Linked DNA regions of Coturnix japonica. The protein of the gene in region 1 purifies or fractionates together with the protein of each later gene. This does not show direct contact. Links are inferred from orthologs where the notes say so. Each region holds a gene or a part of one and is shown in the gene's direction. Other genes may lie near its edges.

Region 1 (4,788 bases):
TTTTTGCATTAAAACACTTAACAACTATCTCTCAACATATGTATCAGAACATCTACAGAATATCCTAGAAAGAAATGGACCCATTTCAGTGGATTTATCATATTACTTGAGATTGAGAAGGTTTCAGACTTGAATTAAGGATAACTCGGAGCTTCCTGCCGGGGCACAGCCACCAGCTATCTCTAGCCATATTTCCAATTGCTGTTTATCAACAGCCCCGTGCTGCCCTTCATCTCAGGTATGGCTGCTCAGAGATGGGTCTTCTGATGTTTACAATGAATTCCAAAAGCACTCATCAAGAGCTGGACTTCTTTCTACAGCTCTCAGTGTGTAACTTGAAGAGGGCACAAACCAAATTAAGGTTGTAATGATAATGGTCACACGTAGGACTATTACGGTTATGTTGTCAGCTACATTTGCTGAAGGATCCAGAGGTGCACATCCCTCCTCATCCCGAAGGAGGCTTGGTTGGAAGCGCTGCCCTGTCCTGCCAGCCCAGCACGCCTCACCTCACCTCACGTTTACCTCCACCTTTACCTCCTCACCTCCATCCTCACCTCAGCCTTCACAATCAACTTCATCCTCACCTTCACCTTCACCCTCACCTCGCTGCACCTTCACCCTCACCTCAGCTCCACCTTGAGCCTCACCTCGCCTTCACCCTCACTTCCCCTCACCTCCACCCTCATCCTCTCACCCTCACCTTCGCACTTCCCTCTCACCGCACCTCAGCTCCTGCCGCTCACCCTCACCTCACCTTCCCCCTCCCCGCCTCCGCAGCGCCGCCCAGGCGGGTACCGCGCCGATTCCCCCCGTGACCGACGGCCACGAGCGCCCGTGTGTGGCGGCAGGGGCAGATCGGGACGGCGCGGGGCTATTCCGGGCGCTAAGGAGATCAGGGCGAGGCAGCGCGGCCGGGCTGCGGCATGGCGCCCCGCTGATGGCGGGAGGGCAGCGCCACAGCTACGCCACATGGGCGGGGGGGAAAGCACAGGTAGCGGGGCCGGGCAGCGGGTCAACGCGGCGTCCGAAAGGGGCAGGGATGGAGGGGAAGGAGGCCCGCAGGGCTGGGGGGGATGCGGGGTAACGGACCGCGAGGGGACGGACGGCGGGGGGGGAGGTAGGGCCTAGCGAGAGGCGGCGCAGGTGAGGAAGGGGCGAGCGGCCTGCGGCCTGCGGGCAGCGGCGGTGCGGGAGACGGGAAGCGGCAGGTGCGAACGGGGGGATGCGGGCAGCAGGGCGGCTGTGGAGGAGGAGGAGAGGAGCGGGCCGGGGGGAGGGCAGAGCGCGGCGGGAGGCGGAGGAGCGTCAGCTGGAGCGCGGATGGCGGGAGCGCGGCGGGAGGAGGAGGAGGAGGAGGAGGAGGAGAGCGTCAGCGGGGGGCAGAGATAGCGGGAGTGCGGCAGGAGGAGGAGAGCGAGAGCCGGGGGGGCAGAGAGCGAGGGAGCGCGGCAGGAGGAGGAGGAGGAGGAGGAGGGGAAGGAGCGCGACGCAGGGACGGCAGATGCCTGGAAATAAAAATTTGATGATTGCATGCAGCGGCTGGAGAGACTCTGTCGGTGGCGGCGGCGGGGACGCGGCAGGGACAGGGGGGGCGACGGCAAAATGAAGTATCAGAAATACCTGACTGTCTTGCAGATGGCCATAGGGGTGACCGCCTCCAACAGGGGCAGTCTGATGCCCTTAAAGAGGAAGCTGTGGTGAGTAACGCACCGCGGCCGGGCGGCTCTGCGGCCGGGCGGGGACGGGCGGGCGGCGGCCGCGGAGCGTCGTGCGGGTCCGCTGCGGGCCCGGGGCTGCCGCGCTCCTCAGGGCGGGACGTTCCGGCTCCGAGCGCCCCGCGGGAGCTGCCCGCGACTCAGCGCCCGAACGGTCCCGCTCGGCGTCCCGCGGGGCGCTGCCGCGGCCGGGCAGGCGCTGCGCTGCGCTGCGTGCGGGGCGCTCACACGGGCGGCTCCGAGTCCCAGCCCGCCGGGCCGTGCCTCCCTCCGGGCAGGTGGGCCGGGCGGCGGTGCGGGCCTCGGTGCGGCGGCTGAGATGCTGAAATGGACTTTTCCTCGACTCATTGTCGGTGTTTTCTTGCTCGCCGATGGGTGTGCTGAACCGATTTTTCTGGCCGAATCAACAATACGTTATGAAAAATGTATTAAAGTGTAATTGTGTAATGTGGGTGAGTAGGGCAGCGACAAGCATATGGCACTGTGCTATTCAGCACTCGCTGGCGGGAGCAGGCCGCTGCTGGCTGCATGGAGGCAGCGGGATGTGCCGTCAGGACAAGCTGCCAGGTCCACGAGCTCGGGCTTTTCGTGGGGGAACCGCTGAGAACAAACGCACACCGAGAATTTCTCTCCTCAGAAAGACAAAGTGGTGCCGGTGTTTCTTTCTTTCACTGTACTTGTTCGCTCACGGTGAAGGGAAGTGCCATAGAAGGCATGGTAGGTCATGCTGCTTAGAGGGGCACCCTCTGCAGGGACAGAGGTGTTTGCATGTCGGCAGCCCCAACAAATACATGATTACCTGAATTATTCTACAATGTGCTTTTCCCTTAAACCACCTCCCCCCGTCCAGTATTGCCAGTTAGCATACACGGTATCAAGGAAATGCGTCCCTTGCAGGAGCAATGTATAGCTAATAAGCTCTGTCATTAGTTCCAAATCTTACTATAAAACAGATTGCAGATCCATTTCTATTAACTGTAATGCACAAGATCAAATGTAGTCTTACACATACGTTGTCATGCAGATAATTTTATTACATTTACTCAAATCTAAAGGTTTTATAGTATATTCAGTGGTTTGATTTTGATTATGTAAGTTACATAAAGTGCTACCACTGTACCTGCTCCGTTCTCCTCCAGTGCTTTTCTTGTCTGTGCACAGAAGAACATCCATCGATATATTACTTCTTTTGACAGTCTAATTATGCGTCATACAACACTAGCACTTGTTCTATTTCTTATTTCCTATGTCTTCTTGGAAACGTTTTTAGACATGTTAAAATGAGGCTATTTGCATTTACTTACTTTAAAAGTCTGAAAGCTCCCTCTTCACTCTCTCCTTGATGTGATGTCTGCAGCTGGAGTTAGATCAGCTCTATATTGCCTGGTTTTCTGGCAAAATGCTGTGCTTTTTGAGGGATTTCAAAACAACAGAGTGGATCCCCACTGATGTGTGCTAAGAGCTGTGCATTTTGTAACGTTTGTGACTTGTCTCAGTATTGCTGCAATGGTAGGCTTCATGGAGATTTAGTTAGCTAAGAGTGTTAGGGAGAAATAAGATCATTTCTATTTTATTTTTAGCGATATCTATGAATTATTTCAGGTTTGGCAGCGTATCTCTAGGATGTTGTTGTTAGTAGGTGACATGATATTATGCAGTCACTTTTTCTTCGAGAACTTTAATAGCATTAGGCATTATCTTTGAATAGAATTTATGCTCATGTAAGAAATACTATTCTCCGATGCATTTACAGAAATGCTTAAGGTTACTTTATTGTTTAGTTTGGGGTGGTTTTTTTGAGCTTAGTCTGTATCAAATAATCCACTAAGAAAAAGTGAATATAAGAGACAAGAATAGATACTGTTATTACTAAAATCAAGGCGATATTAGAGTCTATTTCCAACACAGAAAGCAAAGGTGTGTTCTAGAACTGAATCACTGAGAATCTCCAAGAAGCATAAACAAAATGTGTAACTGACCAATTTTATAATCAATGGATGCTGATTTTCTTTCGTTTTAGTTTAGCAAAAAGAAAACAACAACAACAAAAAGCGTTTTGTTTAAGCAGTCAGATTCATGAGTTCTTTGATATGTTGGTACTTAGTGAAAGTGGAAGCAAAAGGCGTAATTTAATAAAAAAGGGTTAAAATACTCATCTTTTTGTAGGTTGAGATAATCCACCTGAATCCTACTGAATGAAAATGAAAAAGGTAACAGCGATGCTTTATTTCTTTATGGAGCATCTGTCACTCCAATTTCCTACTACTTTCCTCCCTGGAATCCAAGTTCTGTTCCTGTTGTAGAAAAGCAGAGTCAGGAATGAAAACAAAGAAGGTGGATACCCACGTCTCATGATGAGTTCACAATAAACTGGTGTAGACTGCCTGAGTATAAACCAGAGAGCGGTCCAAAACAGATGCTGCAGCTTGCTGTGGGAAGTGGTGTAGATGGAAATTTGACTGCATTTAATGTGGAACTTGGTCATTTTGGGGTGAGGTTTGTTGGAGGCAGTTGGGTGTTGATTCTAGTGATGAAGGAAGTTGCTGGAGTCTAGAGCTGCTGATTCAGACCCGTGTTTGTGAGGCACTGTAATTTAATACATAGGAACCAAATGAGATGAGTAGGGTGTTCTTAACGGTCTTGCTGTATCTGGATGCAAAAAAGTGCTGTCATAATGCTGCCAGTTAGCAGAGTCTAACAAGTCAATAAGCTGTCTTCATTCAGAGCGGCAGCCTCATTCCAGCTCTGGGCTGAGGCAACATGAGAATCTTGCAGGCTGTGATGAGCTTCTTCGTGGACAGATGCTCTTTTCTGAGGCTGTGTAGTAATACTTCTTTGGAGTACTACCTCTATTTCTCCAAGAGTAGGGTTTTATCTGGTGCGTTATGTTTGAAATGATTACAGGAACTAGATAATTATTATTTTCTTCTGAATTTCTAATTTCTATTGTGAAGTCGGTTATTTCACAGAGGTTTTCAAATTGGAAAACCATCATTTCTGGCACTGAGATTTCATTAGAGCAGTTATTAGGGGAGCAGATTTAACAATAAGGGATGTGCTGTTTTGCACC
Region 2 (5,034 bases), on another chromosome or scaffold:
GGGGGATCCCATCACCAAAGGAGATGATGGCTGAGCTCACCCCCCCCAGCAATAAGAAGGGACCACGGGATGATGCTGTCGGGCAGCACTTGAAGTCGTGGCTGGGACTGCTGTGGGTGCTGGGGGGGCTGCAGCTGCTGTGCGGGGGGGCGGCCTTTATCTGTGTGTGTGCTGCCATCCCATGGGGTTACAGCGCTTACAGCACTGAGCTGCTCCCTGGGGGGGGGCTGGGGGTCCCGCTGACCCCCTTTGTGCTGGCAGTGCTCGGCCTGGCCTGGCTGCTCACTGCCCTCCTGCTGGGGGTCACCACCCGCTACCATCACATCCTCTTGGGGGTCACCTGGTGGCCCCCCACCGAAGCAGGGCTCTATGTGCTGCTCTTCCTGCTCTGCCTGGCTGCGGCGGGGGCCCACGTTCACACTGTCACCCTGGGGGGGCTCTGCTCCTCCCCGCTGCCTGGCAGCCCCCTCCTCACCGAGCTCTGCCGTGTGGATGGGGCTCAGGCGGCCGCTCTCCTCTTCCTCTTCCTCACTGCTCTGCTCTACCTGGCCGGCAGTGCCGTGGCTCTCAAGGTTTGGTACCAGGGGGCTGCAGCGATTCCTTGTAGCCCTATGGACAACCTGCAGCCCACGGGGGCTTTGAGCCCCCCAGTTTCCATCCTGAAGCCTCCGCTGGTCCGAGCCAAACGTGTAATCTTCGAGGATGAGGTGGGGGTGGCAGGGAGACCCCTATGGGGGGCTGGAGTCACCACCAGCAAAGAGAGCAAGTGTTCAGGCTCGGTGCCCCCCCAGCCTGATTACATGATGTAAGTGACCATCCTCGGTGTGAAGGGGGGGGGGGGTCCATGGGGGGTCCCGTGGGTTGAGCTGGTGGTGGTTCTCCTGCAGGCGGTACCCGGCGATCCGGAGCTCCCGGCAGCGGCAGCAATACGGGGCGGTGTTCGTCGATCAACACGCCGAGTATCGGGAGCTGCGGGGCCGACTGAAGGCGGAGCGGTGGGGGGAGGATGATGATGCTGTGGGCAAGGTGGGTGTGCGATGAGATGGGGGGCACAGGGGGTGGGTGGGTGGGGATGGGGGGGGCTGTGCCTTTCTGCTCTGTAGGGTGAAAAAGGGGGGGGTCTGTGTTTGCTGTGAGCTCCTGGGGGAGAAGAGGGTGAGGAGGGTGAGGGGTGTGGGCTGCGTGGGGGGGGTCTCGGTGCTCAGCGTGTCCCATTGCCAGGATTTGGCCTTCGTGGCAAAGCAGCAGCGCTGCCTCTACCTGAAGGAGAAGCTGACACATATTAAGGCACAGATCCAGGAGTATGACCGCAACAGTGACCGCAGCAGCACCGTCCTCTTCTGAGCGGGGCACGATGGATGGAGACCCCCCCCCCAGAAAAAAAAGCCCTGTGGACACTGTGGGGCTCAGTACTGGGGGTGACAGCACTATGGGCACCCACTGCCTGCTGTATTGCAACCACTGTGGCAAAGGGAGCAAATCTGGGGGTCTCTAGTGGCTCTGCACCCCCCCCCCAGCACAAAGCAGGTGCAGCCAAAGAGGGATTGGGGCACTTTATAATAAAATCCCATGATGTTTCCGGGGGGATTCGATGCATCTCGGGGGACCCGCAGCGGGTGGGGGGCACCCAGAGCCCCGGGGATGCTCCGATGTCACCCACTCAGCCTTGCACTACGGGGACCCCCGCCCGCAGCCCCCGCTCCCCCTCCCCGCAATGGGGGCGGACAACGGCAGCGGGGCCGCCCTCGGGGCTCCCCCCGGAGGCGGAAACCGGGACCGGTCCCGTCCCGCAGCGCTCCCGGCTGCCATTTTAAGGTGAACAAAGCGGCGGAGGTGCGTGCAGGTGACGGGTTGTGCGGTGGTACGGGACTCCGGAACCGATACCGGAACCGGGGTGGGGGAGTGCGGGTCCCGGTAGCGGCGGGGGTGGTGCTTTGTGGGTCCTTCCGAGGGTCTCCGTCTGTATCCGCCGGTACCGGAGCGCTGCGAGGACCGGGTTGGGGGGGGGGGCTGCACCGGGAGGGGCTCCACGTCTCGGGGCTGTCGGGTGGGGGGACACACAGAGCCCCCCCCCTCCCCATCCTTCCCCTCTCCGGGACCTGCGTTGGGGACGGGGAGGGGGGGGTTGGGACATCGCGACCCCCCCCCAACTCCCCGCCTGCCTTCCGCTCGGGTTACCCCGCGGGGTTCGGGTTTCTCATATTGCACCTGCCGGGGGGGAGGGTCAATGCTTGGGGTTGTGCTGTGTCTGTGGGGTTGTGCCTTTGTACATCGTGGGGGGGGGAAGCTTTAGGCTGCAGAGCCGTCCCGTCTCCCCCCGTTGCCCCTCATGGCGTTGCTCCCCCCCCCCCCCCCCAACCTTCCTGCGCTGTTGCTGCAAACACCTGTGAACTCAGAGCAAAGCAAAAGCAAAGGGCGATCCTGAGTGCGGAGGGGGGGTCCGGGGTAGGGGAAGAACCGGCAGTGAACCCCCCCCCCCCACCCATTGCTTGTTAATCCCAGCAGCTCTGCTGCCGGAGGGGCCCTCGGGGGTGAGCGCTGCCCTCGGTTAATCGCTTTTGTGCTTGTTAATGAGACGACCCCATGACGCGGCGGGTCGGGCGGGCAGGGCTGAGCACCCAGCGCTGACTCACCGTCTCTCCCCGCCCCAAAACGTGCCTCAGTTTCCCTACGAGTCGCTGTGACGCGTCGGACACACGGACGGACCGACCGACCGACCGACGGCGATCAAAGTCCCCCATTGAACTCAACGGGGACGGGGAGAACCGGCGGTGTCAGCGCTCCGTCCTTCCCCCCCGCAGGTTCACCATGTTCAGCAAGAAATCCTACGACTCTCCCCCCACCATGTACGGCCCCCCCGGCGCTGATTACGGCTACGGTTCGCCCCCTCCGGGCTCTTACTACGTAGACGACGCTCCGCAGCACTTCTATAAGTGGACGTCGCCCCCCGGCGTGGTGCGGGGGCTGCAGGGGGGGGTCCTGCTGCTCTGCGTTGCCATCTTTGCCTGTGTAGCATCCACGCTCGCTTGGGACTATGGCTACGGCCTGGGGGGGGCTTATGGCACCGGCTTGGGGGGGTTCTACGGTACCGGCTACTACGGCAGCTCGTTGGGCTACAGCTACGGCTACGGGAGCTACTATGGAGGGGTGAACCAACGCACGGCGAATGGCTTTATGATCGCTATGGCCGTGCTGTGCTTCCTGGCCCAGTTGGGGCTGTTGGTGGCTGCTCTCAGTAAATCAGGGGCCACACGCTCACGGCGATTCTACCTGGCTGTGCTGGTGCTGAGCGCTGTGCTGGCCTTCGTCATGCTCATCGCATCCATCGTCTACATCATGGGGGTCAACCCGCAGGCACAGATGTCCAGTGGTTATTACTACAGCCCCTTGTTGGCCATGTGCAGCCAGGCTTATGGTGGCACCTACCTCAACCAGTATATCTACCACTACTGCACTGTGGATCCGCAGGAGGTGAGTGTGAACCCCCCCCCCAATAATGATTTAAAGTCAGCCCTTTAAGGTTGTAGTGGGAGCAATTTGGGGTCAGAGTGTCCTGATGGAGATGAGGATGCGGTGTCCCCCCCCCATAATGATTTAAAGGCAGAATGAGGTCGTAGGGGGAGCAATTTGGGGTCAGTGTGTCCTGATGGGGATGTGGTGTCCCCATTCTTAATGCCCCCCCCCATTTGTGGTGCTGCTGCATTGGGTGGAGGGGAGGGGGATGGCACCGTGTGGCCATCAAAGCACAGGAGTTTCGGGGAGGGGACAGGCTGTGCCCCAACACTGAGCTGCTCCCGGGTACTTTGGTCTCCAGGCTTGTAAAAGGACTTGAGCAGGGAGGGGAAGCCGGACTGTGCTGTGCTGTGCTGGTTGGGGTCAGTGGGGCAGAAGGCAGCAGGTTCTGCACGGCCCCGGTTTCGGCTGGGGCCGTTGTAGGGTTCCTGTACAGTGCTGGGGTGGGACCGGTGCTGCTGGTTTGTGGCAGCCGGGCTGGATGTGCTGCATTCCTGCACCTTGAGCATAACACTGCTGCACCGTGGAGGAGGGGGGGGGGACACAACATGGTGCTGTGCTCAGTGCCCCATAGAGCTCCATGCTCAGCTGACCCCAATGGAGGTGCAGTGTTGGGGTGTCCCCTCCGTCTGCTCCCATGATAAAACCCAGCCTTCAGCCCTACAAACCCCATGGTGGCTCTGTGTTGTGGACTGCCTGTCTAACCTATGGGTGTCTATGGGGGGAGAGCTGCCCCATTCAGCCCCACACGGGGGCTGGGTGAGTGCAGACCCCTTCAGCCCCCCCCTCCCTGCTTCCCCTCCAGGCTGTGGCTGCTGTCTGTGGGTTCCTCATTGCCATCCTGCTCTGCCTCATCTGCTTCTTCGCCCAGAAGACACGCAGCAAGATCTGGCGCTATGGCAAAGCCAACATCTATTGGGACCGTGCACCCGTAGTGCAGGAGGGGCCCGATGTGGAGGAGTGGGTGAGTATAGGGGGGCAATGGGAGCATCCTCCTCCTACCCTGAGCAGGTTGGGAGCTGGGAACGTGGCTGTGCCCCATATCAGGAGCTCCTCCTGCTACAAACAGTGCTGTACCAGGAGCCGTGGGGCTGAACTCCTTCCCCAAGCAGCCCTTTTATTTCCCTTCTCTGGCCCTAAAGGCAAACAGGGTTGGATCAGATGGGCCGGGGGCCAGCAGTGCTGAGCCCGTCCCTTCTGTCCGCTCTGCACCGGCTGCAGGCACTGCTGGGTTTCGGTCTCGTCAATGATTAACTCTATGTGCTGACACACACACAGCCATGTCTAGGTCCCACCTGCCCATTCCCAGCCCCATAGGGATGGGTGTGATGTGCCAGGGGTCTGCAGGTTCTGCACCCCTCCGTGTCTGTGTGCCCACTGTTTGCTTTTCCTTCTGCACAAACATCTTTGTTCGGGTTTATTTATTTTCATTCCACGTCCCTCCCCAGCCCGGCATTTCCTGCTCCTTGGGAGGGTTGGGGCACAGACCCCACACCCAACATAGTCCATAGCAGTGTATCC

What was found.
Region 2: the proteins of TJP1 (region 1) and OCLN purify together in Homo sapiens (affinity purification with western blotting; 4 studies listed by BioGRID and IntAct, with this or other methods). This does not show direct contact. The link is inferred for Coturnix japonica from reciprocal best matches to the Homo sapiens genes TJP1 and OCLN.

What each region holds. Positions count from the first base shown.
Region 1 is NC_029525.1:5,214,956-5,219,743, reverse strand, and holds the start of TJP1 (tight junction protein ZO-1), read left to right. Parts: upstream 1-1,518; 5' UTR 1,519-1,533; coding exon 1,534-1,700; intron 1,701-4,788. UniProt on the Homo sapiens protein: TJP1, TJP2, and TJP3 are closely related scaffolding proteins that link tight junction (TJ) transmembrane proteins such as claudins, junctional adhesion molecules, and occludin to the actin cytoskeleton.
Region 2 is NC_029543.1:2,404,978-2,410,011, forward strand, and holds the start of OCLN (occludin), read left to right. Parts: upstream 1-1,739; 5' UTR 1,740-1,833; intron 1,834-2,663; 5' UTR 2,664-2,808; coding exon 2,809-3,471; intron 3,472-4,318; coding exon 4,319-4,477; intron 4,478-5,034. Other genes in the region: OCEL1 (occludin/ELL domain-containing protein 1), read left to right, coding at 24-805, 888-1,026, 1,222-1,344. UniProt on the Homo sapiens protein: May play a role in the formation and regulation of the tight junction (TJ) paracellular permeability barrier.